4 separate regions of the Mus musculus genome follow, and regions 2, 3 and 4 are each reported to be linked to region 1. The links are microRNA targets in miRTarBase. Many come from high-throughput screens and were not tested one by one. Region 1 holds a microRNA gene; each other region holds the end of a gene's coding sequence.

Region 1 (7,000 bases):
TTTCACTCTAGCCCTCGGCTTCAGACTTCATCCTGAATCCGTCCCCATCCCAGCACCTGACCACTCAGGACACAGGTCTTGTTGAAAGAGGGCTGGATTCGAATTCCGCTTCTTTCTGATAGTGCCCAGTTCGTTCCTCTCTTCTCTAAGGAGATCCCAAGTGGGGAATCTTCATTCGGGTGGCCATGAGTTCACAGCCGGGTGATACCCCAGTGTCTCTGTTTGTCCTCCAGAGCTCAGGCAGTCAGTTTCCCGCTAGGAAGGCAGAGCAGCAAGAAACCCGGCCCACGCCGCCGCCGGAGCCGCCGCCCCGGCCTCCCGGGCCTGGGCCAGTGTGCTGCGGCGAGGTCTTGCAGCTAGGCAGCGAGCAGCAGCCGCTCCATTACGAGCCGGGTGTGGAGCAGTGGGTGGAGCTGGTGGGCATGCTGCCCCCACACCTGCTCCTGCCGCAGCAGAGGGTGGTCTTCGAGCCACAGCGGGGGCTCTCGGCCCGAGCCAGCCCCGACCTGAGGGTCAGGATCCACAGAATGCCCCAGGTGCTAGTGTTCGGCACCGCCCTCAAAGTAGGTGGCGGCGGACAGCGGAGGCACGGCAGGGGGCGGAGGGCGGGCAGGGGAAGGGCATTCAGCCCAGCAAGCCGCTTTGCCTCGCCTTCAAGTCCAGGCTCCCAGGCTTCGCCCCTGCAACCCAAGGCGGGTGGGGTGAGATGTCTTTACCCTGTCCCCCAAAGTGCTGCCAGTCATTCTTGTTCTGCCTCAGGGACTGGGTCCCAGACACGGCTCCTGCAAACCAGGGTTGGGGGTGGAGGTAGGCTATCCAGTACCTGCCCCTAAGGTGTTGTCAGTTGTTTCTAGTTGTTCTATCAACTGATCCCTCTTCAGGCTCCACCCCTAATCTGCTTGGGAAACCTTTTTGGTTTCCAGAAAACCCCCAGGCCCGGTTTTTAGATTGCAAACCCACCTCTCAAGCCCATTGCAGAATTCTGTCTGGTATCCCCTCCTTTGCTCATAAGCCTTAGAAACCTCTTTGCCAAAGCAGAGAATCCCAGCACCTCCTGTTTTCCAGCCACAACTGAGACCTGGCCCCACCTAAGCCTCCTACCTAAGCCTCCCACCTCTGGCCCATGTTGTTCAGAAAACCATGATGTGCAACCTTCTAGATGGGGATGTATGTGGGCATCAGTGAACCCGTGGGTGGTGGTCAGCCCTGACCCATGACCCTGCTTTTCCTCCTGCTTCAGGTACAGCAACTCCCTCAGGTGCCTGTCCCACACGTGTATTCCAGCCAGGTGCAGTACGTGGAAGGTGGCGATGCCAGCTACACAGCCAGCGCCATGTAAGTGGGCAGAGGGTGGAAGGAGGGCTCAGATGTGGTTAGGGCCACAATTCTAACTCCCAGCTGGCCCCCAAGGCTCAGGTGATAGCCCCACACCTGTGGGGTGCCAGGAATATAGGCAGCTGGTAGCAGAAGAGACACTGGCCCATTGGGAAGGCACCTCCACAAATTAGGAGCTGTGCAGTTAGATGGATCTGGATTTTAGGCAGGAAAAGGGGAAAGAAAAAGCATACATATATGTATTTATACATACATTTTTACAACATAAACTTTTTTTGAGACAATGTCTCTCTGTATAGCCCTCACTGCCCTGGAACTTGATCTGTAGACCAGGGTAGCCTTGAACTCAGAGATTTGCCTGACACTTCCTCTCTCGTGCTGGAACCACAGGTTCTCAATCTGACCCTCAGTGTCCCACAGAGTAATTAGTGTGTCCCGTTTCTCTGCTTCTACTCAGAAGTGCTCTGAGCATAGAACTGTCCTGTTTGAGCAGCACTGGGGAGGCAGAGGCAGGAGGATTGTCTTTTGTTATATTGACTTATGTGTGGGGAGAGTGCATGTGCTGTGGTGCAGGTGGAGATCAGAGAACAACCTAGAGGAGTCCGTTTTCTCTCTCCTTTACACAGGTTGCAGGGGCAAATCCAGTTCCTCGGGCTTGCATATTCTGTCTTACAATTTTTCTTGGGGGTTAGGGAGATAAATCAGTAAATGGCTTGCTTCTTGCTTATCAGACCTGAGAAGCAAGGTCATGACCTGAGGTCAGAACTCAAGTACTAGGTAAGAGGTTCATGTGGTGAGTCTCTGACCCCAGAGCCACCTTGCTGGCCCTCGTGTGTGTGTGTGTGTGTGTGTGTGTGTGTGTGTGTGTGTGTGTGTGTGTGTGTGTGTGTGTGTATACACATGTGTTCGAGTGTGTGCATGGGATGATGGGGGGGGGTTGTATGCACCATGTATTGAGCGTAGTGCCAATGCTAACACTGGAGTCTGTTTGCTGTGTGGCTTTGGGGATCAACCCCAGGTCTTCGGTCTTGATGGCAAACATCCCCACCCACTGAGCCACCTGCAAGGCTCAAGTTTTCCTGCTTTAATCACTGTCACATTGGGAGGGCTCAAAGAGCAAAAGTGAGAGGTGGCCCTGCCTGTCCCCTCCCCACAGAGAGCCTTCTGCCTACACACAGGGTGGTCTTTTCCTCATCCCAACCTCTCGTTTCTGGCTGTCCATCGGTACCCAGTGGAGGACTCAAGGCAATCATGTTGCGTCTCCTCTTCCTGCCTCACCCCCTCTAGTCTGCAGCCTGCAGAGATGGGCCCAAATGTTAGGGTGGCTTGCTTGCTACAGTTGCCCCTCTTAGATCTGCGGCTTATTACCCTATGCGGCACTCAGGACATATTCTGAGTTGGAGGGGCAGCTCCCTGCCAGGAAGAGGTAGCCAAGGCGGCCCCTCTGCCTACCCTGCAGTCCTTTGTACTTTGCCTTCCCTCCTGTATCTCCCTTCCCTGGACTGAGAACTGTTTGTCGTTGTTGCCGAGGAAGTACGTTCTGCATTCTGGACCCTGTCTTGTTTTCTCCTCTTCTGCAGTAAGGAAATTGATTCCTGTGCTGGAGTGCAGTGGTTCAGTACCAGTGAGTGCTGTGGCTCAGTACCAGTGAGGAGAGTGATTCCTGTGCTGGAGTGCTGTGGCTCAGTGCCCAGCGAGGGCTGGTTCAATGGCTCAGCAGTGCTTGCTGCCGGGCTTTACAGTCTGAGTTCAGTCTCCAGGACCCACAGTGGAAGGAGAGCCCCGCCTCCCACAAGTTGTCTCTGACCTTTGTGTGTATGCCACGGAACACATGTGCCCCTCTCCAAGTAATAAGTTAATATAAAGACATGTTTTAGAAAACAAGAAAGTGGTTGCCCATCCAGTGCTCAGGCTGTCCCCAGTCCCTTATATGTGAAGGTGCCACACTGGTGTTTCTGTGGCTTCTCTGGTCCTCTCCTGGAACCCCTGCCTCCTTGTACAAGGTGGTGACCATTGCTTCCTGTCTGCTTCTTGGCAGCCGCTCTAGCACCTACCAGTACCCGGAGACGCCTATCTACACGCAGACGGCAGGCACCAGCTACTATGAGGCTTCGGGCACGGCTGCCCAGGTCAGCACGCCGGCTACTTCCCAGACGGTGGCCAGCAGCGGCTCAGTGCCCATGTATGTGTCCGGCAGCCCAATTGTCGCCAGCTCATCCAGCAGCGAGGCTGGGGCCAGCAACAGCAGTGTGGGTGCAGGGGGCAATGGGGGAGGCGGCAGCAGTGGTGGTGGCAGTGGCGGCAGCAGCGGCAGCGGAGCAGGCACCTACGTGATCCAAGGCGGCTACATGCTAGGCAATGCCAGCCAGTCTTACTCCCACACCACCCGTGCCTCACCAGCCACAGTAAGTGTTCGCCTTATTCAGAGGTGAGGGTGGGGGGAACACTCGAGAAAAAAACCTGGCAGTACTCAGAGAGCAGAAGTTTGGCCCAAGGCATAGCTCAGTGATAGTGCTCATATGACCTAGGGCCTGGTCTCATCTGTGGTGTTGCCTTAGGTGTTGCTCAGCCACTCTGTACCTCAGCTGCTATGTGAAGCTCTGAGGACAGTTGCAGAAATGCCCTTAGTCAGAACTGGTGGTGGCTTGATAGGAAATGAGAGATGGGAGCTCCTACAATCACAGTGGCAGAGCTGAAGTCAGCCCAAGTTGGGCCCATTATCAGTCAGGACCATGGATCAGGTCAGAACACTGCACCCTCCACATGGCAGCACACCCTGGCTGCTGGTCTTCACTAGTTTAGTCTATTTAATAAACCACTGCTGCAAACCTTCTGATTTCTCAACCCTGTGGGTCCTCTGGTGCAGCGAGCAGGTCTGCTGAGAAGGTGCACGTTGTTTGTGCCTGGACTAGACGCCTCTCACCTCGGTTACTGTTGCACCCAGGTGGCTAAGGTCCCTGAGGATCTGTGTTGTGGGCTTTTCCTTTTTCAGTTTTATTTGAAAGACTTATAGGCTCACAGGAAGCTATAAATATGGTACCAAACCCTGGTTGGGTGGCACGTGCTTGTGTGACCCCGGCACTGGGGAGGCAGAAGCATGAGTGGGTGTGAGGCTCCAGAGTTCCGAGCTGGTGAGGGGTACCCAGCGTAGCCTTCTTTCATGACTCAGTAGGTAGAGGCCCTGGCTACTAAGCTTGATTACCTGAGTTCAATCCCTGAAAGCCTCGTGCTGGCCAAGACCCAGCTCCTCTGACTTTCACACAGACCCTCTGTACATAAGTAAGTAAATAAATGTCGTAGAACAATGAACAGAAAGGGGCTAAGAATGGCCCAGGAGAAGCATGCCTGCTGTGAGAACAAGAGGTTCTGAGTTTGGAGTCCCCAGCAAGTCACAGCCTATCAGCCCAACACTAGGAGGAGCAGGGATGGAGAGGCACCTGGGGCTCACCTACAGCCAGCCAGACATAAACTCCAGCTTCAGTTTGAGATGTTGTCTTAAAAAAATCTAAGGTGGGGCAAGAGAGATGGCCCGTGAGTGGGAGCGGCTGTTCTTCCAGAGGACCCAGGTTCAAGTTCCAGTGCCCACATGGACCTCACATTGTCTATAACTCCAGTCCTAGGAGATCTGACACCTCCTTCTGGCCCCTTTGGGGATAGGGCATGTATGGGGTACATACATACATGTAGGCAGAACACACACACATAAAATGAAAATGAACAACAAAAACAAGCAACTGAGTTAAGCAACACCAGGAACTGAGCAACCGAGGAAAACATCAGCTGCTAACCTTTGGCCCCCACGCCTGTACCGGTGAACACTTAAACAATAAACAAAAGCACTGTTAATAACGAGGTCTGACAAACGCCCATGCACCCGTCACTGGACTCCTTACTCATTCGTCCCGTCCCACTTCCCTAACAGAAAACATCCAGTCCAGAAATCTCAGTTTGGGACCAGGGATGGCTTCTGTCGATTGTTTTGAGACAGAATCTCCCTCTGTAGTCAATTCTTGAACTCGTGGTTCTTCTGCCTCAGTTTCCCCAGTGTTGGGAGTTTAGGTATATTTTCACCCTCTTCTACCTCACTTTCAACATATTGAACCCCTTTAGGAACATGAATTTGTTTTCAATCTATAATGCTTTCCATCTTTATTACCTCACTCCTAGGATGTTCTGCAGTAACTCTTATTCTGTGACTGTGGGAGACTGAATTTTCATCCCACATATATTAACAACTTTGTCTTTAGCTGCAGGTGGCTAGTAGCAAGTGTATCAGTCAGTGCTGTTCTAGAAAGTTCTAAGACTGTAATCCCCAGGAATACTGTAACAGGATATGTGACTTACAGCTGGCAAGGGTGGCTTTCAGAACCATTGTGGAAAGCAGTTGCAGAAAACTCAGCCACGCAGACTGTCAGCACTACCCAGTCTTCTCGTGTGCTCCAGGTCCAGTGGCTCCTGGATAATTACGAGACCGCTGAGGGCGTGAGCCTGCCACGGAGCACCCTCTACTGCCACTACCTGCTGCACTGCCAAGAGCAGAAGCTGGAGCCAGTTAATGCCGCCTCTTTCGGCAAGCTCATCCGCTCGGTATTCATGGGTCTGCGCACGCGCCGTCTGGGCACCAGGTTTGCCCCCCCTCCACCCTCATCTGCCCTTGGCCAGGGGGGTGTACACTCTGCCCACGTGACCCACCTCAACTCCAAGGGGTCTTGAACCACAGGGCAAAGACCCTCTTGCCCCTTGTTAACTCCCTTGCTCAGCTCTGCTTGTGCCTACCCTGGGGACATCCCTTGGGCCATCTTCCCTTTCCTGTACTTTACCCCATCTCCTTACTCACTGATCTCTTGGTTCTTGCTCATCTCTTCTAGAGAAGTTTTTCAGGCATCATTTCATGCATGTGTTCATTTGTTCATTCATGTTACCCATCGGCCATGCACTTCATCCTCGCGTCTCAGTTTTCTCCTGTCTGTCTAGGCTGTCAGGAGCACCCTTCATGGGATAGAGACAAAGCAAAGTGGGGCTACTTGCTTAGTAGTATAAGCACCTCACATGCCCTATGACCAACAGCCTCGTGTCTGCCAAGTGTGTGCCTGGTATCAGAGTTGGCAGCAGGCAGTGACTCATACTACCATGTCCGTGATCACTCCTGGCATACAATGCCATGTTCTTCAGCTCAGCTGGCAAGCTTTCTCTGTCCAGGCCCCTAAATGAGAGGGATGCATGAGAACCCCAGTGTTCTTCCTGCCCAGCCGGTAAAGCACTTCACCCCACCTTCTTCCCAGGGGCAACTCTAAGTACCACTATTACGGCCTGCGGATCAAAGCCAGCTCACCCCTGCTGCGGCTGATGGAGGACCAGCAGCACATGGCCATGCGGGGCCAGCCCTTCTCCCAGAAACAGAGGTAGGGGCCTCCTGCTCTGGAACTGAGCAGGGGCTGCGAAGTTGGCTGTATCATACCACTTGACCATGCCCTAGACAACGTTCATCAATCTGCCCAACCCTGACCTGATGGCTCATCCGTTCATCACCTCCTCCCCAGCCACCCCTCCATCAGTCCTCACCTGCTACCCACCCCCCACCCCAGCCCATCCCCACACAGCTGGGTTATTCCCCCCCCACCCCAACCAGGTGGCTTGACTCCCCCTCCCCCAGCTGGCCCATTTC
Region 2 (7,159 bases), not on the chromosome of region 1:
ATGGAGGTGGGAGGTGTGCCTGCTTCCCTTTTGCGTGTCTAGCATGCCCCACCCCCAATGTCTTCGGTGCAGGTCAGGAAGCAGCTACTCTCCCTAGTGAGGGCGGTGTGAGGATCACACCCTTCAACCTGCAGGAAGAGATGGAGGAAGGCCACTTTGATGCTGATGGCAACTACTTCCTGAACCAGGATGCGCAGATCCGAGACAGCTGGCTGGACAACATTGACTGGGTGTGGCCCAGGGACTATTCTGGCTGAGGCCTGGGAGTGCAGGTGCAGGGCCTGGGCCCTGGTGGAAGTTTGTAAGAAATTCTAATTATCTTTTCCTTGTAGGTGAGGATCAAGGAACGGCCCCCTGATAAGCACCAGGTTTCAGACTCGGAGGAGGAAGACAGCCTGGGTCAGACTCCAATGAGCGCCCAAGCACTCCTGGAGGGACTTTTGGAGTTGTTGTTGCCAAGAGAGACAGTGGCTGGGGCCCTTAGGCGGCTGGGGGCCCGAGGAGGAGGCAAAGGGAGCAACAGCAAGGGGACTGGACGGCCCAATTCCCCCCAGCGGCTAGACCGGCTGTCTGGGTTAGCTGACCAAATGGTGGCACGAGGCAACCTTGGTGTGTACCAGGAAACAAGGGAACGGTTGGCTATGCGACTGAAGGGTTTGGGGTGTCGGGCCCAGGGATCCCATGACCCCACACCTCCACCCTCCCTGGACATGTTTGCTGAGGAAGTAGCAGAGGGTGAACTGGAAACCCCAACCCCTACCCAAAGAGAGGGTAAGTTTGGAGGGCACGGGTGGGGGGCAGTGTGGGCTGGAGACTGAGTGCTTGAGGCCCAAGTATCGTTCATTGTGTTAGAGGCAGAGTCAGCAGGAGATGGCCTGATGGATGTGATGTGGGAGTATAAATGGGAGAACACGGGGGACGCCGAGCTGTATGGACCCTTCACCAGTGCCCAGATGCAGGTGAGCTGCCCCCTGCCGCGTCTGTCCCATCTGTCCAGCCCACCTTCTGTCAGCTTGCCTGAGTTCTGTCCTCTGTTCTTACAGACGTGGGTGAGTGAAGGTTACTTCCCGGATGGTGTTTATTGTCGGAAGCTGGACCCTCCGGGCGGCCAGTTCTACAACTCCAAGCGCATTGATTTTGAGCTGTACACGTGAGCCCGCTAAGGGCCCCATGCGGCACGGCAGCCCCTTCTTTCTTGAACTTGGCAGAGGAAGCCCCAGCTGCTCTGGGCAGTGAGGATATTGGAGGCCACTTTAAAGCCATTGTTTCCCAATAAAAGCCTTGACTGTGCGATGGCCAAGAGCCAGGGCTTCTCCATAGCTCCTTTTGGCTTCACCTGGTAGGTCCCTGAGCGTTTCTTCCCGAGAGACTTCCTCACTTGCTTCTCTCTGGTGTCTTGGACCACCTCAGTTTTTTTTCCCACCCTTGGAGGCAGAGGTAGGGCCCATCAGATGTCCTGTGACTTTCCTACGTAGACAACTTCTACTTGCTGTGTAAAATTCCCTCCATCACTCTTTTCTCCAGTCTCCCTTGCAAGTCCCTGTTCTGCTGATCTTTGACTTTTAGGACCTCAAATGCTCTGTCCTGGCAGCTCCCTTGTAGCTGGGACATTGGGAAGACCTTGAAATCCTATTGAGAGATTCTCTTAAACATGCATTCTCTTCTTCCATAGTCTGATTTTTCTACCCCTCGCCCCCCTGCAGTAGCTTCTGTAGCTTTTAGGTGAAGTATAAACTTGGTAGCACTTCAAGGTTGCTTGAGCCACCATGTGACACAGAGGGGGGCAAAGTGCAGTGGCTTATTGGAGATGCCACAGTAATAGAGAGCTGGCCATGGAGCTAAGTCTCCTGACCTTTTTTGGCATAAAGCTTTTTCTTGCTTGGCCTTTCAGGCATTGTAGTGTACGTTTCCTGGGCTCCCACATCTCGGGCATGGGGCTGGTGCCTCGAGGAAACAGTCGGTCTGGCCCTTCCAGGAATCTGGAGTGCAGTAGAGGGCTGTGGGAGGCAGGCAGGGCCTAAGTTTTCACCCCACCATGCTGCTCTGCTCGCCTCATCTGTCTCCAGGAGGCGCCCCAGGAGCTACAAACTGAGAACTTGGGAAGTAGTTCCTAGGCTCAGCTCGGGCTTGGTGGTGGGTATTTGATGCAGAGACCTCCAACACATCTAACAACTAGACTGGTTCCTGCCAGTCTAGACTGCAGTTGCCTTGACTTCAAGAAGCCCATTAGTAGTAGTAGGACATCTGATGCAGTGAGTCACTGAGACAGCAGAAACCCTCCAGGCATTGGTAAGGTGTTAACTGTTACAGAGGAACTGGCTTTCTGAGGTACCTGGCATCTTGGGACGAGTGAAATCTAGTCAGGTGGCCTGAGTGTTCACAGGTGTTGGGGGATAGATACCCAGGTGTCACTCAGTTCCCTCACGCTTGGCGAGTTCTCCCCTTCTCTGATAACACCAAGGAGGGGGCAGAATAGTGATCCCTGAAGATACCCACATCCTGAGCTGTGTGAATACCACTTTATGAGTTATGTGGCAGAGGGAAAGGGTAAAGTGACATTGAGGTTTTGTTTTGTTTTAATTTTTTGAAATGGGGAAGGGGGTCCTCACTGTGTAGCCCTGACTGGCCTGCTGCCTCCCAAGTGTTGAGACTAACGTCATGCACCATGGCGCTGGGCAAAATTAAGAAATTTTGAGACTGGGAGATTGATTACCTTTGATTATTTGGGCCATTGTAGTCATGGGTCCTTGCTGATCCCTAATGAGAGCAGAGGACTCTGAAAGCTGGAAGTGAGGCGTATGTCTCAGGGTGCAGGTGCCTGGAGAGACGGGAAAAGCAGAAGACAGATTCTTCTCAGACAGGTGCAGTCCCACAGTGATAACCCAGTTAACCCACTTTGTACTGTACCCTCTAGAGTGGTAAGATAATAAATTTGTGTCAAGCTGCTTACATTGTGGTAATTTAATAAAGCACCGGTCGGAAGTGAGTCTGCGCCCAGCTACGCTCTGGAGAGCCACCAGAGTTCCTTGTCTTCCCGGCCAAGCACTCACCTGACCCAACCCTGCTTAGGTTCGGAACTGGGTCTATTCTGGGTGGTAAGACCATGGACTTTGTTAAGCACAAAGCCAGTAATTGTTTGGATGGGTTTTTGTTGTTTTGAGACAGAGTCTCTCTTGGACCCTGGCTGGCCTGGAATTGATTATGTAGACCAGGCTGGTCTTGAATTTAGAGAGACCCATCTGCCTCTGCCTCCCAAGTGCTGGGTAAACTGCCTTCCTCTCCACTTCCTCTCCAGTAATAAAACTACAATGTGCTTTTTTTGTTGTTGTTTTTTTGAGACAGGGTTTCTCTGTGTAGCCCTGGCTATCCTGGAACTCACTTTGTAGACCAGGCTGGCCTCGAACTCAGAAGCTGCCTCTGCCTCCCGAGTGTTGGGATTAAAGGCGTGCGCCACCACCGCCCGGCTACAATGTGCTCTTCTAATAAGGGGGCCGGAGAAATACCTGAGCAGTTAAAAGGGCCCAGGCTTGATTCTCAGTAATTACATGGAGGCTCACAATCAGTCTCACAATTGTCGCCAGGTAACTGTGGGGGAGTCTAATGCTTTCTAGCTCCAGGCACTAGACTACCAGGTGGTTAGACAATACAAAGGCAAGCACTCATACACATGTAAAAAATTGGTTTTAGCCGGGCTGTGGTGCTGCACGCCTTTAATCCCAGCATTTGGGAGGCAGAGGCAGGCCGATTTCTGAGTTCAAGGCCAGCCTGGTCTACAGAGTGAGTTCCAGGACAGCCAGGGCTACACAGTTTTTCGAGACAGGGTTTCTCTGTGTAGCCCTGGCTGTCCTGGCACTCACTTTGTAGACCAGGCTGGCCTCGAACTCAGAAATCCGCCTGCCTCTGCCTCCCAAGTGCTGGGATTAAAGGTGTGCGCCACCATGCCCGGCTTGTTGTTTAATTACATTCATTTCTGTTCTCCAGCAGCTTATATCCAGCCTTATCTCCCACTCGCCCAAAGTTGAGTGGTTATTCCCCCACTGAGTCCACTTTGTGTTGTGCAGCTACTTCTCTTGGGAGTGCAGTGGAACTCGGGCTTGCATCTGCTGGACAGGCACTCTAGCACTGAGGAATAGCCCAGCCCAGTTCTCGGTTTTGTTTTGTGTGTGTTTATGGTAGGGGGAGGGTTTGAGAGAATTAGCTTGGTGGTTGTTTCTCCCACTGAGTCTGTAGCCCAGACTCTGACCAGCACCTAAACTACCTCCCCACAGTGTTAGCCTTAGAGGCAGAGCGCTGAAGACAAAGGAAGCGAGCCAGCTTTTCCCTGTCCAGTTGACAGGGGCAGCCTTCTCAAGGAGACTAAAAGTGAGGGTGCCATGGTTAGGTGGCTCACGTCTGATCTCAGCAGGAGCATCAGAAGTTCAAAGATGTCATAAACTGAAGTTCTCTGGGTGCTGTTTGAATACTGGAATACAGGTGTCTGAACCCAGAGTCTCTTAGAGGGCAATGAAGTGTGTCTTAATGTTTTCCTTGCTGGGATAACGTAGGACCCAAGTAACCTAAGTAAGATATGAGTTAAGGTGGAGGCGCACACCTTTGATCCCAACCAGAGGCAGGAGAATCTCTCGAGTTCAAGATCAGCCTGGTTTATGGAGTGAGTTCCAGGATAGCCAAAAACATACAGAGAAACCCTGTCTCAACTAAAACAAAAAACTAGAAAACCACCATGACCAAAAGCATCATGGGAAAGAAGTTTAGTTCATTGTTAAGCTGACGGGAGCCAGCTGGCAGAAGCAGAGGCAAAGACCGTGGGAGAACGTGGTTTACTGGCCTGCCCGGCTTGCTTTCTGATGGCACCCAGGACCACCAGCTCATACATGGGATACAGTGAGCTGAGCCCTATAGACTTGCCTACAGGCACATCTACAGAGGCTTTTTAATCGAGAGTACCTCTTCCCAGACGACTTAACATAAAACTAACAGCAGCCATTTTTACTCTGTGGAGTATCCTTGTATCTTGGACAAACACACAAGAAAGCCTTAAGATCAAAGCTATAGGTGACAATGTCACATTCAGTACATTGACTTGACTGCTGTCTGTTTCCAAGGAGGTAACAGGAGCCAGGCGAGGCAGGGAGTCTGGACCCTCTGGGTGAGGTAACTCATGAGGACAAGGAGTAGTAGAGTGATGTCCAAACGCTGCTAAAATAAGCCAAATGGGGTGTGGTGGGACACACTGGTTGCAGCACTTGAGGGAAAGCCTGAGTTGCATAGTCACAGGTGTGGTGGCACATGCTTGTGATCCCAGCACACAGGACCAGGAATTCAGTCTCAGTTTACCTAGCAAGTTTAAGGATAGCCTGGGCTACATGAGCTGTCTTAACCCCTCAAACAACAAAAACCCAACTAGACAAAAATGGTTTTATTGAAGAATGTCTGACACACCCTCCATTCCTTCCCACAGGAAGAGGTCTTAGCCTCACAGCATTCATCTGCTGGTTTTGGTTTGTTTGTGTATATGTGTGTGTAGGGGGTTGTTGTCTTTTAAGATTTTACTTGTTTTCATGTTTGCTTGCATGTATGTGTACTGTGTCTGTGTACCATGCCAGACTTGGAGGCCAGGAGACTTGATTGACAGATGTGAGGCACCTGTGAGTGGAGAGCGAACCCAGGGCCTCCTCTGGAGAAGCAATTGCTCCTTACTGCTGAGCTATCTCTCAGGCCGTTTTTTCTTGACAAAAAACTGGCCTCAAACTTTCCACCCTCGCATTTCCTTTGAAGTTCTAGTATCTTTAGATGTGTGACAGTGTCTGACTCCATCTGTTGACTAGATGAGCCTTTTTGCTTTGCCGCTGATCCTAGATTGCAGGCTGTGGCTGTCTACATGAAGTCAAAACCAAGCTGTGTATCTGAAAGTACCCAACTTCTCATGATCCTGAAACCCGATGACTGTCTCAGGTCTGGGTTATAAACAGGTGTGTGCAAAATGGGAGGTGTTGATGCTCTGGGGAGTGTGAAGTCATTTCTGAACTCCCCCTGGAGGACAGGCTGTCCTTGGTCCTTTTGGGGATCAAGGTTATGGTGTTAAACAGGGTTTCAGCAACCCCAGGCCACCACCAATACTTTGGGGCCCTATATACAGTCTACCTACACTCAGCTAATTCCAGCTACTGCCGGCCTCTCCCTACCAAGTCTCTGTTCTTCAGGGGCTTGTCAGGCCTAGACTATCTCTAAGGTAGGACTCCAGCTGCCATACTGCAGGTGCTGGGGCTGTAGAAGCCAGCAGCCTGGGGGTTGCCCCGGGGGATGCCTTGAGCAGTTTCTGTTTTCCTGTTCTGATGCGATCAGTCTTGCTCTGACTTTCCGGTTCCCACCCTCTCCTCTGCCGGCCTCTGCCCTGCAGTTTGCAGTGGCTTCAGGATCCCTGGCTCCAGTGTCCTGCTCTGAGCACATTTATTTCTGCCGCTCCATGCTTGCCAAGTAGCTGAGTTTCTCACCCAGTCCACACTGTCCTTGTTCCGAGTATCAAGCCATCGTTTGGCAAGGAAGACTGGCATTGAGGCATCCCTACACATATTAGTCCCAACTCTTTATTTAATACCGAATTTGCCCATTGTGCTGAGGAAGCAGATGAGATGCGGAGCGGAGCACTGAGGTGAAGCCGCAAGCCCGGTGCCCCTCAGCCTGTGAGTGTTCAAGGACCTCAGTCACTCTGCCTGTCCCTAAAGATTAGTCACGAGATTCAGTGATTTTTTTTTTTAATATTTATTTACTTACTTACTTACTTACTTATTCTATGTAAGTACACTGTAGCTGTCTTCAGACACTCCAGAAGAGGGCATCAGATTTTGTTACGGATGGTTGTGAGCCACCATGTGGTTGCTGGGATTTGAACTCGGGACCTTTGGAAGAGCAGTTGGCGCTCTTAACCGTTGAGCCATCTCACCAGCCTGTGATTTTTTTTTTCTTTATATTTTTGCCCATTTTTTAAAAGCTGTAGTTGGGACTGGCGACATATGCTTATAATCCAGGTGCTCAGATTGAAGCAAGAGGAGGCTCATGAGTTCAAGTCTGGACTGGGGTGTAGCATGAGAGACATGGCTGTGTCTCAAATTAACTATAATTCTTAGAATTAGGTTATCTTCCTCTCACTGAGATATGA
Region 3 (7,159 bases), not on the chromosome of region 1:
TGGAGTGCAAAAGGCAGCCAGTCTAAACTGCTGCAGGAGTTCTCTGATTTCAAGCCTAGCCCAGATGATACTATGTTTATGAAGTTCATTCAGTAACTATTAGTATTCCCAAACATATTTTATCAATTTAACTTTGTGGTAAGAGATCTTTTCTTCCTGACATTGGTCTCAAACTCCTGGGGAGTATGACTTTTATTGGCTTGTCTGAAATAGTTGCTATGACCAGTGAGTCATTTAGTATTTTATACAGCATGCAATACATACTGTATACCATAAAACAAAACTTTGTACTCCATTCCCATCTGCCTTATCATACACTCAGTGGTGCTCTTATAGGGAAATATAAAATTTTTAGATGAGGCTAAAACTCTTCAGGCAGTGGTGGCACACACCTTTAATCCCAGCACTCAGGAGGCAGAGTCAGGTAGATTTCTGAGTTTGAGGCCAACCTGGTCTACAGAGTGAGTTCCAAGACAGCCAGGGCTACACAGAGAAACCCTGTCTCAAAAAGACCAAAAAAATAAAAATAAAAAATAAAAAAAATTTTTTTTTAAATTCCCCATTTGTTCATCTCCTGGTTAATCAGTGAGTTAATTACAAAGTTGCCATTTATTATCCAGAGGTTTTTTGTTTTTTTGTTTTTTCTTTTCCTTCCATAGAGCAGGAGCAGAGTACTGGAGAGGCTCAAGGAGCTGAGCAGCTACAGGATGCAGAGGAAGAAAAGGATGACTCAAATGAAGAAGAAAACAAAGACAGTCTTGTGGATGATGAGGAAGAGAAAGAGGACATTGGAGATGAGGATGAAGGAGAAGAAGATGAGGAAGAGGACAACTTGGCAGGCATCATGGCTGAGGAGAGAAGTGACACCAACGAGCGAGCAGTTGTGAAGGAGGGTAGTGTGTCCCCAAAGGAGGACGGAGCTCACCCAGCTGACACTCAGGACGTGGTGGAAGACGCCCTGAGGCAGCGCAAGAGTCAGAATGCCAACAAGGGATCTTAGGTTACATTATGACATTTCTAAAAATACAGGCCAAAAAAGAAGTCTGTTTCCCTCTGGTCTGCAGTTTAAGCCAAATCCTTAGTTGTTTGTTTTGTTTTTCTGAATGAGCAGTGTTCACTTTTAGAAGATGATCTCTGGCCCCGTGGTTACATGGTAGTAAGCCTCAGTGTCGTAAGAGAGGTGTAGCACTTAGCCATCATAGTGTTAGTACCTTTGTGGGGTCTTGAAGAGAACAAGTTGATGTGCTTGGGAGCCAAAGAGTAAATCAGAGGACTTCTCTGCAGTTCTCATTAGCACCTTTAGAAGTGAGGCTGCTGCTTGATAAAGTGACAGCAAAACCAGAGCATCCTTAAAGTGCAGGAAGTCTTTGCCGTCGTTGTTAAGCATGTGTTTTAGTCAGGTCAGAAACATCAGGTACCACAGCTCCCCAGCACTCTCTTGAGGCTAGAAATTGTGGAGACCGGGGTATAGATAGAACTTCAGCATGGAGCTAGGGAGTCATCTGAGCTCTTTTGGTCTCTCGTCTTTTGTTTCTTACCTTTCATCTCTATGACTTTTCCACCTTGCACTTGCAGACTCCCATGGTTCACAGCTGCTCTGTAGTGAGAAGAGCCGGCAGCAGTGATCTGCATGGATTACCCTTACTGGATGTAAAACTTGAGGGAACCACAGTTGAGGAGGCTAAGACTGCCAAGTGTCTCAAAGACATATGCTGTACTCTCTGAAAATTCAAAAGGCAGTGGCAGTTTCATAGGACAGGTACAAGCAACATCTTTTTTGGGTCCTATAGTTACAGGATAACTTCTTCAAGAGTTTCTCCAGCCACATCCTTTGTTTTTCTGAACCCAGAGTGCTCTAAGCCTTGTCACTGTAAGGTATTTTTATAAAGCTGACTTCAGGTCTGTGGTGGTTAGTTTCCATCTCAAGAAACCTCTCTGGAACCACTTTAATAACAACTGAAAAGGCATGTCGGCTTTGCTTTTAGTGATGTGCTTTTGGTGAAAAAACAAATTGATGAAAGTCAATTTCAGTAGGTAAAAGATTTTATTTGTTTCTATCTCCCTTGATCCTCTGGAGAATTGTGTGATTATAAATCTCTCCCTGCTCAATCCAATATCAGTATCAAGGAACCCAGATTCCTTATTAAATAAAAAAAAATCTCTATCTCCTCTCTTACCCTCTCAAGTCTGAGAATAAATCCATAAAATTAGATTCTAGCTATATGAAGGATGACTAAATTCAATCTTATTCCCCCTTGGGTTGAGTCAGAATAATGAGTACAGGTTTGTGAAACTCAAAATGTTTCATCATTTTAAAAAGGGGTATGTAGTGTATTTCTCTGGCTGCTTAGATAACGTTTTCTTTGCATTAGCTGCCAACAGGAGGGTCATTGTTAGTGGAGGTTCAGAATCTGCCTTCCTGTACTGCACAAGGCTGCTACAAACCTTGCACAAAGAAAGATTTTATTGTGACAATCCATTCTTTATGAATGTTTTTGTTTCATCTTTCTAACTTAGTTAACTGTCAGTTCAAGGCTGAGGCCATCACAGAACTGGAGACCTTACTGCCCTTCCATGTTTCTGCCCTTCTGATACATCCTTACTCAAAAGTGTCATGGTTCTGTGGTACTTTTCATCTTCCTAATAGAGCTGAGCTGCACCTTCTCTTCTGCCAGTATATTTCCTTCCTTCCTTCCCTTGTAATCCTTCCTTGATGCATGGAGTGTTTAAGCAATAGTAAATCCAAGTTCAGAGTGGTGGGAAAGGGACGACTTGCATCTCTGTTCTGTGAAGTACCCTCCTCCAAATCGACATACTGGGTTTTAATGGGATATTTGACAAGAGGGAAAGCTTGAAGGATTACAGTCTGCCTTGGCTTTGATAAATGTTTTAAAACCAGGTTCCATTTGGACCACAAATACTACCTAATAATATAATAAGATAATATATTTCCTTTCTTTTTTTTTTTTTTTTCCTGAGATAGGGTTTCTCTGTGTAGCCCTGGCTGTCCTGGAACTCACTCTGTAGACCAGGTTGGCCTCGAACTCAGAAATCTGCCTGCCTCTGCCACCCAGGGGCTGGGATTAAAGCCGTGCACCACCACCACCACCCGCATTATATTTCCTTTCTTAATACTTAAAAGATATTGGAAGCTGGAAGAAAAAGTCATGGAGAAGGGGGTCTAGTCCACTAAAATTATATTTATTTGTAGGAATCATTTTTTTTCCTGGCTTTTCTGTTTTTAACATCCTGGCAAAAATTGGGTTTCTAGTAAATAGTCCAGGACCTTAATTTCTTTCCATATGAAGCCTTAAGGTTTATTTTCAATACTTTGTTCATATAAAATTAAAGGAATAAACAACTTAAGATTAGATAAACATTTAATACATTTTTGTGTACATAATAAATTTAATCCAGAAGTGAAGTGCATGAAAATGTGATTTTCTAAAACAAAAACCATGCTTCCCTTCCATTGCCATACCTGCTATTTAATTGTAGATTGCTATTTTCTGGATGTTAAAATCTGGTGAATGAGATAGCAATTGTGGAATGAGGGTGTATAGTGCTTTATGCACAGATGGATAGAGAAAGGTGCCTTGTTCTTCATTGGAATATCTGAAAATTCCATTACCTCTTTTTATTTTTTTCTTAACCCTTCACCTCCTTAACCATGCTGAACCACACTGACTTGCTTAGAATCCCATGGGAGCGATGCACAGGCAGTTCACTTTTCTGTTGTTGTTATTGTTTGGTTTTGAAGGCTAATCATGGAACATGGAAGAGATGTCTCATTCACTACATAGGCCATTGTGCTGTGTGGCAGTCACTGCAGTCTCATCCTGTACATAGGATCTGTACCTGTTATTTATAATAACTAGTGCAATGGAAGGCAAACAAGCTTGACACAGATCAGCTTTGGACAGCTGAAAAGCTACACTTTGACCTTTTAGGGCCAACTCCTGGCTGATAATTAAGATATTGCCATGTGGTTTGAGTATATGTAAGCTTGAATAAGTGCACTGTGTAACATCTTTTGGGGAGGAGATTAAAATGCTAGTTAAGGGAATATCTGCCATGTGGCTTTTGCGAGTTTGGAAACAATGGAGGTCAAAGGGAAGTTTTAAAGAATTGTAAAGGGTGAAAGATATTTCAGCATTAAAATCCTAAGCATGAAGTGAGGGAAAGAGAGAGAGAATGGAGCTTTTGCTGGTGTGTACAGGTTTTCTGTGTTCTTCCTCTTAGTGTCCTGCTGTTATTCCTGCCAGTATTGTACATTTGTGATTGACTAGCCTGTCAAATCATTCAACTGTTTGGAAAGTATTTGTGTAAATCTTTGTGCCAACAAGAACGCTCTCAGTGTTGTGTCTCTTTACCTCATTGACTTGATCCTTGTGAGATTGTAGCTTCTGACAGAAGCCAAGGTGGAGTCTCATGAAACCTGCTAGGTCAGTTCTTTGAGCAGCTACCCAAAGCAGGAGACTCAACTGAGAAACCTTGGACAGCTTCAGCCTAGCATGTTGACCTCAGAGGCTTATTCTCTAAAGTTTCGTGTAGACTGTGATGTTCACCTGTGGCTTTGACTCATTTCTAATGTGGTTTAATTTTATTTGTCTTTGGAAAGCTTTGTAGAAATGCAATTTTTATACTAATGACACTGTTCATTTGTGAGTCAGTATATTATAAAATGGTGTGTTTTTTTGTAATAGTTTTGATTGTTTAGCCCAGTGTATTTATTTTCCATTACCTATGTATTCTGTGCTCTCAAATAGATGTGTAGCAATTGAAATGAGAAATCAGTTCATCATTTCAAGTACTACATTGCCTGCATTACAAATTCTCTGATCACAGAATTGTACATAACCCTGAGCCTATGTACTGCCATTTGATTGTCAGGTTCCATTTGTGTCAAAACCTAAAGATAGTGATGACCAAGTGAAACAGAGTGGTGTATTGCTTTTTCATATGAATATTTTCACATAAAAGCATTTGTGAAAGCAGTTGAAAATATTACTTTGTTAAAAAAAGAATTTTCTTCTGTGTTTATTCTCTGAGTGTTCATTCTCCACTTTTTGTACTTGGACTTGGTAAAATCCATGCAGTGTGCCCAAGGTTAATGCAAGGGTTTCTGAACACCACAGCCCATTGTCCTATCTGTATGAGCTCACTGCAGTTGCCCTGGTCAGGCTCGTGCATTTACTTAGTGACTTTGCTACTTCTCCAAGATTGCTGGCCTTCCACAGTCTCCTACGACTTAGAGAAGACTATCTCAACTTACCTGTTCCCACCTCTGTAGCAATAAAAGAGCCAAAAAGGCAAGGTGGCTCCTTTGAACACACTTCACACTGATGTAATGGAGATTTGATTTATTCCTTTTGAAAGATAGTAGTAAGCTGTTTGGTAAAAGAAAAAATGCTATTAAGTTCAATTTTACCCAGTTTCTTTACCAAAGTAGAGGTAAGAATTCTGTCTGTGTGAATGACTCTTGGTGAAAATTCTTCACTAATCTACCTCTCAGGTAAGTTAGTATAATCTCTAAGTATAGTAAGTGGGATTCTCTTTAATCCTGCTAATTTAACATTAGTTGCCCTTTGGAAAATCTTTTGCCATTAGAATGTAGAGTGTTTTAGTGTCACTGGTGGGGCCCTTTCCTGGAATTGAATGGTAGAGACCATATGATAGATGCAGAAAATATCAGTGGTGCAAAAGAACAAACTGTCAGGCTCATGAAGTTATAAATCATTGAAACAGTGACTGCCTTTTTAGCCCATGCTCTCTGCACATGTCTCAGGCACATAAGAGATTACAGGTTGGCTGCTTGATTATTTTGACTAATAGCAATATTGTATAGTGTATTTTGTTTCTCATATCCTTAACATCTTTGTCAAATAAGGTGACAAGCCAGCTGATCTGCGGACTCTTGTATTTACTGGAAAAGTAGTTGTCACTTGTCTCTTTTTAAATAGTTTACTTTGTATTTGGGGTTTTGTGTTTTGAAGCAAGGTCACGATGAGTGTCCCAGCTAGCCTCAGATTTACAACTCTCCAGACTTAGAATTTCCTAGGAGTGCTGTGATACATGGCATGCACTTCTCTGACTAGCAGCTGTATTTTCAAGTAGCATAAAGTAGAATGATTAAAAACCAAGTTTCTATTGTCTATTAACCTTTGTTTTAAAACTGTAGATCTATTCTTATGAGTTAGCAGGAAGATAAGTCTCTTGCCAAGTAAGGTCAATTCAAATAATAGCCTCAAGAAACCATCTACAACTGTGAGAGCTGGGAGAATGACCACATTTATAAAATGAGGACAATAATTCAGGGTTTGACAACAAGTCAGAGTTTCGTGTCTATTAAAATGGGATTTTGATAAAAATAATTTTTAATGTGACTCTCTAAGGTATACTTAGTAAATAGTGTGGTAGAAAATAAAATTGGGAGATAGTACAAAAATTATCTCTGCATTACAATTAGATACGTTGGCTACTATTTTTAAGGGGACAGTTCAGCTCAAAATAACAAACAAAAGAATAACGGACTAGGAACATGAGAAAGGTAAAGAAAGGAGCTGTTAGGTCTGTCTTGGTGGTGGTGATCATGGAGCAAGCGCACATCTTTGGAAGCCAATGACTACATGCTTCATTGGCTCTCCAGATACTGGGTATACAAGGATTGGCTGTGACAAGATGGAAATAAGCTGGAAAAACTGAAAATGCTCTTCTCTATCCTTGACAAAACAAAAAACTCATCAGCCCATGAAAACCAAGAAAAACCTTCTCTCTTGGCCTTGTCTCCTGCAAAGGAGTTTTCTAAAAGCATAGGCCTGCTTCTGGCTTTAAATAGCTTGGTGTTTGAAGTCACACTAGCATCTTATACTCAAAACCAAAAAAAGTAAACCAAGCATTTCTAATATGAAGGCTAATGGGACAGGAGAGTGAGAGTGTGCTGGCAGAAGCAAGTTAAAAAAAAAAAAAAAAAAAAAAAAAAAAAAGCTCTTGAGAACATTCCCAACATGGCTTAAGCATTCTTTGACTTCAGCTTGAAATAACAGTCACCTAAGAAAGCTGTTCAACAGCCACCAGGTATGAAGTTCAGGCTCTGAAGTCAGGAAAGTGTCATCAGCAGGTGGGAGATTGAAGAAGATAGGAGATAGAGGCAGACAAA
Region 4 (7,128 bases), not on the chromosome of region 1:
ACTTCTACATGAATCCTGACTGTAGCATGCACACTCCCCCACCACACACATAATAAATATCCCAATAAAGACTGCCCTTGAAGAAAATGAAGAGGAAGAGGGGGAAGAGGAAGAGATGATGATGATGGTGGTGGTGATGATGATGATGATTGTGAATATCAAATGTTCCTTTCTTATGGGAGACAAACAGTTTTTTTCCCCCAGCCCTAGATATCAGTCTCACTGTCTCTATTAGCACTTCACCAGAACTTGATCTTGATCTGACTTCCCACAGTGCCGTGTGTGTATTGTGTGTGTGTGTGTGTGTGTGTGGCGTGTGCTCTTGAGCGCACACACATACATGTGTGCACCTATGAGACTGTGGCTGTACGTGTGCCCTAGTGCACCTAGAGCTAGACTAGCAGAAAAGCATACAGCTTGCTTGCTCTCAAGAGCTAAATGCTGCAGAGGAAGCTGGGGCCGCCCACATTTGCTACCAGTGTTGTTTATGTTTTCTTTTGTAGTTCTTACCCAAGACAAAGCCCTTGGTGTGGAGAACCCTGAGTGCTACCAGAGGTGAAGAGCTGAAGAGCTCAGCTCCTGAGCCACAGGGTGACCAGACTGACACAGGAAGCCAGGGTTGCACAGGAGGCTGCTCTTGCTTGTGTCTTCCTTCCCTGAGTCTTCCCTGGACAAATCGAGCACCTGCCTGACACTTTAGTTATCTTCCTCTCTGGTCCGGACTTGTTGTCCTGACAACCAGACAGGAGGATGAAAGACAGCCCGCACACACCTCTCCACACACCACCCCACGCATGGGCTAAACTCTGGGTTTGAGATCACGTTTAGTTGAAGTTTGAAAAACATGCTAAAATCCTAAGTCATTAACCACTGCTAGGTGTAGATATATTTTAAATCAATCAAGCCCCTCTGGCATGTTAAAAAAGATTTATGTGTTCTTCACTTACCCATGGTCCCAAGTCCCTCACATCCGTCCTGCAGAAATCAGTTTATTTGTGTCCTAAGACAACAAAGGAAATGTTGAATCTTGCTTTGAGACCCTAGTCAGTGTTGCATTGGGCTAACTCAGACAAGCTTTAGAAAGTTGACTGTTAAATTTTCATTTTGAGAGCTAGTAGGCATGACAAAGACTTAAATTATTATTTTTATTATTATTGAGATGGTATTTCTCTGGGTAGCCCCAGCTGTCCCAGAACACATTCTGTAGACCAGGCTATCCTGGAATTCACTCTATAGACCAGGCTAGCCTCAAACTCACAAAGATCCTCCTGCCTCTGCCTCTCAAGTGCTGGGATTAAAGGTGTGTACTGCCACTACCTAGCTTTAAAAAAAAAAAAAAAATTGTAACTAAACAAAGGTAATTCTCCAAACCTCACTTTCTAATTTTACATGGCAGATGCTCCTGAGCCCAAGAAGCAGCTCAGATGCTGCTCAGGAGTGTCCATGGCACCAAGGTGGTGACATTTCTGTGACAGAATACTGCTGGGCTCCTCCTCTCAGATCTCTGTGACAGCCTGCTGGTAGTCCAAGGTCAGCCATGGCCCAGAAATGGTGAAAGCCGTGCCCCTGGGAACAGATGGGTTTCCAGCGTCTTTCTGCTAACGAGCAATGCTAGTTGGTTCAGAAAGTGCAGGGAGAATGAAATGGACAGTCTGTTGTTCTTTACTGAGATCCTCAAGGTACAGAAGAATTTTTTTTAAAAAAATAGCTCATTTGGTATTTTATACCTTTTATAGATGAAAATTTTATACTGTGTCAAGGCCCTCCCTCCCTCCCATATAAATCTAGGACTACTATATAATTCAAGCCATGCAGTATACAGAGAGCAGTGTCAGTATGCAGAAACCAGTGTCTGTCAGGAGTGCCCTCTTCTATACAGAAGGTAGGTTAGTAATCCAGAGAATACAAGAAGGCGGCTCACCAGCCCGGGCAGGGCTGGGTGCAAGGCTTCTGGCATCAGCGACATGACATGATTTGTCTCTGGGAAGTCTCTAGGAGGAACAAATGTCCTGTTACAGTCATTGGTTTAATCTGTACATTCTCTGTGCATATACATGTGTTCATGTGAGCATGGACTCATGGTCCCAAGGGCTGTAGTTCACACACTAGACACCAGCAGAGCAGAGGTGGGCCAGGTTATCAGCCTTCTAGCTGTGACTCCAGAAGCCCCCCATCCCCCACCTCCAGCCTTGCTTGTTTTTACCAGTATGATGGCATTTCTAAAAGCACCCTACCTCACAGGAATTCTGAGAGAACTGAGAGTGTGTGGAGCATCTGCTGCATGCCCTACATGGGACCTGCCTTCCAAATGTTCATGGTTTTACTTCTATTCTTTGTAACACCTCATACGCAGCTTAGACGTCATCTCCATTTGGTACAAACTTTAAGTCAAATTTAACTTTGAAACGCCGATGGCCTAAGCAAATCCTTTTAACTATATTTATAAATTCATTGAAAAGTACCTCATACTAGCCATATTAAAATCTAGCTGGGCAATCTAACTATGGTGACTGACCTGGGCAAAGAGAAAGTGGTTGTATTTTTCTTGTAGTTTTTTTTTCAAGAAAACATCCTTTTTATACAGATCTAGAAAGAAGAATCACTGCTTATACCTACATTGGTGATGATTGATGTGTTAATATAGAAAACTCAAAAGAATCTCATACTTTCCTAAAATAAAATATTTTAAACCTAGTAAGTGTGTTATCCATCTTGAAGGGCAGTCGACCCTTTATACTGAAGATCAAATGGTCTAACGCTCCCCAAAGACAGGTCTCTCTTAGAGGTTCACGTGACGCACATGCACACACTCTTGTGCACACACACACACACAAACACACACACACACACACACACCCAATATAAGATACACACATGACAACTATGTATGTATGTATGTATGTATGTATGTATGTATGTATGTTATGTATGTGTATATGTATGTATGTATATATGTACACCTTTGGAACTTGGGGCAGGGCTAGGGGTGGTACCTGGGGTTTCAAGCATTCTAGGCAAGACTCACCACTAAGCCACACTTCTAGCTATCAAGAGTGTTGTAAAAAAACAAAACAAAACAAAAAAAAATAAATAAAAAAAATAAAAAGAAAAAAAAAAAAAGAAAAAAGCCGGGCAGTGGTGGCGCACGCCTTTAATCCCAGCACTCGGGAGGCAGAGGCAGGCGGATTTCTGAGTTCGAGACCAGCCTGGTCTACAAAGTGAGTTCCAGGACAGCCAGGGCTATACAGAGAAACTCTGTCTCGAAAACAAAACAAAACAAAACAAAACAAGAGTGTTGTGATGTCTCCCTGTTCCCAGATTCCTTCTGCAGACTTGGGGATCTAAGCCACCAGCATACCTTGCACACATTTAAAGGAAGGTATAGTGACACAAAGGGTTCATTTGTTTTGTTGTTATTCATTCGTTTTGTCTTTTTGAAATGGGTTTTACATTGCCCAAGGTAGACTAGATGCCATGTAGTTCAGATGATCTTGGACTCCCGATTTTCCTATTTCCACACCCCAGGTGCTAGGATGACAAGCATGCAGCACCAAGGCCAGCCTGTGTGCACCTGGGGATCCACTTTAGAGTACACCAGGGAGGCAAGCACTCTACCCATGAGCGATAGCCTCAGCTCACAAGTTTCTTACAGAGATTGCGTTTACACATTAAAAAAAAAAAGATCAAACAGCCACCATGTTCAAAGCAGAGGCTCAGGTACAGTTTCAGCAATGAATGAGAAGTCCCTGCCTCACAGAGACTTCAAGGTCAAAGCCATAGAAACAGCAAGTAAATATATAACATGTTATAGGATGATAGAGTACTGTAAGAAGCAGCAGGGGTGGGCGTGGGAACGGCAGATGTTCGGGCTATCTTAACAAGAGGACATGTGCTACACAGGAGAAAGCCAGGCGGGTGGGTACCTGAGAATATTCCTGCCAGGTAGAGGCTACAGCAAGGGGAAGGGCCTTGAACTGGAATGTTCCATAGAATCTGAGGAGCAGCTGGCAGACTGGTCTGGACAAACTGCAAAGCAGGCAGACAGTGGCAAGAAACAGGGTGGCATGAATGTGGATTTTTCTGGGGGATGTGAGCTTACCAACAGACTGTCACATGGCACGGTTCACACATTTAAAACCGTTACTCTGGCTGTTTGAAGACAGTGGGGCTGAGGTAGGCTCAGATACACTGCAGGGCTGGAGAGGTGACAGTGACTTGGACCATGCTGGAAGCAGTGGAAATGGTGAGGGCGAATTCAGTTGGAAGGTCTGTCAGAATTTGCTGATGGACTGAGTATAAGAGAAGGGTGCCAGTCTCAAGCTGAAGGCATCTGACCTATGCCCAGGTGTGAGGCATTTTGAGGTAGGCAAGCACAGGGAAGACTCTACTTGGCTATACATACAGTACTTAACAAGCTGAGACCCTGCCAACATCAGGCTGCACACCCCTTCTTAAATAAAGCAACTGGTAACTCTAACCTGGAGCGCCCTAGCCATCCTTAGTAACTTCCCTTCTGTGGCCAAACACATCCTGAAACACCTTGGGATCTGGAAATGTGGGCTCATCCAGCCTAAACTGGTTTGGGGAACATAGACAATAAGGCAAACTATGCCCTACAAATGAAGTCTTAGGGAAAAACCCTACTTACCACCGTGCCTATGCATGATTGAACGAATATGATGAAGATCAGATGTATCATGGGAAAGGACATGTGAAGTAAACTCAGGTTTATGTAACTCATACATGTTATTCCATGCCTGTAGAGGTCAGGGGACAACTTGAGGTGTTGGCCCCTGCCTTTCCATCTTGTCTGAGAAGAGTTCTTCGCTGCTGCACAGCCAAGCTCACTTCTGGTGGATTCTTCTGTTTCGCCCTCCCATCTTTGGGAAGAGCAGCTGTTCCCAACCTATGGGTACACTGTAGCTCTCTTCAGACACACCAGAAGAGGGCAACAGATCTCATTACAGACGGTTGTGAGCCACCATGTGGTTGCTGGGAATTGAACTCAGGACCTCTGGAAGAGCAGTCAGTGCTCTTAACTGAGCCATCTTGCAAGCCTGAGGCCATATCTTTAAAAAAAACAGTTCTGCACATCAGTATATGATGCTATCCTGGATATCAAGCCAGCTGCTAGACTTGGTAGCCAGAGTTTAAAGAGAAGTTATATAGCTTACAGTGTTCAGAGACAAGGAATGAAATCTCCTAGTTAGTGGTTGCAGGGACTGAGAGATCGAGCCTGGGGGTTCTTCAAAACCTAGGGGTTTAGAAAAAGAACTGATGTAGTAAAAAATTAGAAGCCAGAGGTAGGAACCCATTCAACAGTCAAAGTGGCTTCCTGGAAGGTATGGGAAGAGCATCTTAAGAAGACATCAGTGCTTGTGAGAGATTAACAGGACTAACAAACACTGGGCTAGATGGGAGAGGGGCTTAGGTAAATGACCAGTGTGTTCAAAACATATGGGAACAACACTCACAATCCAGTACCATGGCTGCATCTGCTAGGAACCTCCACAGCTGCTGAAGTCTTTACTTCTGTGACAGTTCTATGACACATCACTGTACTTCTGAGTGACTCCGATGAAGTCACTTCATGATTCCTTCAGTGGCAGGTATACTGTGATGATCAGAGTGTGATCCTGGGACACTCAACATTGTCTCCTACCTAATAAAGCCCAAAGAGCCCAGTGTGAGGATGGTGGCCATTAGACGCCTCTATGAAACACAGATGGAATGGTACCTGCAGTCAGTGCGCTTCGCCAAACTAGTGCCAACAGTTGGAAAGGCCGAAATGGTGGCAGGCTTTTCCACCGAAGGACCTGGAGCTTTGGGTATTCAAAAATGCACTCTGTGACTGCAAAAAGCAAGACCATATTTCTCAGCTCCTCTAAGATTAGTGTTCTTAGGTAATGCATTTGAGCAGATTCCCAGGAAAGCCCTTCATTGGCTCAACGGTGTGGTCAAGCACCAGCCAAAGAGACACTCCCAGGGCCTGTGTCCTGCCACCAGCCATCTGGTATGCTCTTGGTACTTTCATCTGGAATGAGCCTGCGCTCTCTGATGTGATCAGGCCACCCATTAGGCCCACATCCTCCATCATGTTCTAAGCCACTTCTAAAAACACTTCATTTCACTGCTAAATTAACTGGTCCTTTCTTTTCTTCTCCCAAGCTCTCCAAAGAAAGGGGGCTAGGGAGGCCAAGCATTGTGGTATGCATCTGTAACGAGCACTCAGGAAGCTGAGGCAGGAAGACCACAAGGCTATCAAGGTCCAGAGCAGCCAAAACTACACGAGACCCTTTCTGAAAACATAAAAGGGGGCTGAAGTGGAAATGAGCAATGTGTTCATCCCAAAAGCCTCGGTGAACACATCTGATTACAACTAACTGTATGACATTTGCATAAAACACACACACACACATACACACGCTGAGACACACACATTTCAGGGCCAGTAAGATGGCCCACAGAACAAAGGAGATGCCACCAAGCCTTTGACTGAGTCTGATCCCCAGGACACACGTGACATAAGCCAAACACTGATCCCCCAAAGCTGTCCCAATTGCCATGCATGCACTGTGGCAAACCTGCACATACACCCAGACACAACATAAATAAATGTAGTACAACTTTAAAGATTTCACAGTGTTTCCAGCCCATCTGTCCTCTCTCCATTCCTTCCACGCCGACAATCATTTCACCGTCGTCCCCTTCTTCTGAGCTGGCTTTAAGTGTTCCATGAAGACATATCAAGCAGTTGAAGACTGCGTTTCAGGATCCCCACTGAATTCTTTCCTTACCCAGTTAGTGTGGATGAAAATATCACTGACTGGTGAGCGAGGGGAAGGAAATAATCACTCCAAGTCATTTTGTTAAAAATATTTATTTTAAAAAAATACAATTGTTGTCCATATCTAGTTGCACGTCTCTAACGACAGATCTCGACAGCTCTGGACTTGGAGTAAACCCGCCAGAGTGCGTTCTCAGAGCCAGCTTCCCACATACAGGCAAATCCCTCTGTCAGTTCTTACATAGAAGTTTTAAAAACTGCATCATTTTCTTAAAATACACATGATCTTTATAGAAGTTACAACACTTTTACATAAAGCTTAGAAGCAACAGAAGTAAGGT

Evidence for each region. Region 1 holds the annotated microRNA mmu-miR-709 (GGAGGCAGAGGCAGGAGGA, at 1,835-1,853, shown strand). A microRNA usually pairs through its seed, bases 2 to 8, with sites in the 3' UTR of a target mRNA and lowers its output. Matches are read on the target gene's strand: a 7mer-m8 pairs with bases 2 to 8, a 7mer-A1 pairs with bases 2 to 7 and ends in A, and an 8mer does both.
Region 2: miRTarBase lists Cd2bp2 as a target of mmu-miR-709. Seed matches in the 3' UTR shown: 7mer-m8 at 2,631-2,637, 7mer-m8 at 3,240-3,246 and 7mer-m8 at 3,246-3,252.
Region 3: the mRNA of Tmx4 is a reported target of mmu-miR-709. Seed matches in the 3' UTR shown: 7mer-m8 at 3,058-3,064.
Region 4: the mRNA of Mfsd4a is a reported target of mmu-miR-709. Seed matches in the 3' UTR shown: 7mer-m8 at 1,269-1,275 and 7mer-m8 at 1,275-1,281.

What each region holds. Positions count from the first base shown.
Region 1 is chr8:84,084,333-84,091,332 of GRCm38, forward strand. It overlaps Mir709 (microRNA 709), which reads left to right and starts at 1,767; the gene lies at 1,767-1,854. Rfx1 (regulatory factor X, 1 (influences HLA class II expression)) reads left to right here. Exons shown (of 21, transcript NM_009055.4): 8 at 1,241-1,335; 9 at 3,374-3,740; 10 at 5,779-5,960; 11 at 6,618-6,737.
Region 2 is chr7:127,187,815-127,194,973 of GRCm38, reverse strand. It overlaps Cd2bp2 (CD2 cytoplasmic tail binding protein 2), which reads left to right. Exons shown (of 7, transcript NM_027353.4): 4 at 73-230; 5 at 333-771; 6 at 853-959; 7 at 1,044-3,314. The coding sequence ends at 1,154. Among named protein-coding and RNA genes, the nearest start is that of Cd2bp2, 4.7 kb to the left of the region's middle.
Region 3 is chr2:134,592,366-134,599,524 of GRCm38, reverse strand. Tmx4 (thioredoxin-related transmembrane protein 4) reads left to right here. Exons shown (of 8, transcript NM_029148.1): 8 at 660-5,024. The coding sequence ends at 1,000. Among named protein-coding and RNA genes, the nearest start is that of Hao1, 42 kb to the right of the region's middle.
Region 4 is chr1:132,032,349-132,039,476 of GRCm38, reverse strand. It overlaps Mfsd4a (major facilitator superfamily domain containing 4A), which reads left to right. Exons shown (of 10, transcript NM_001114662.1): 10 at 504-2,694. The coding sequence ends at 559. Among named protein-coding and RNA genes, the nearest start is that of Elk4, 28 kb to the right of the region's middle.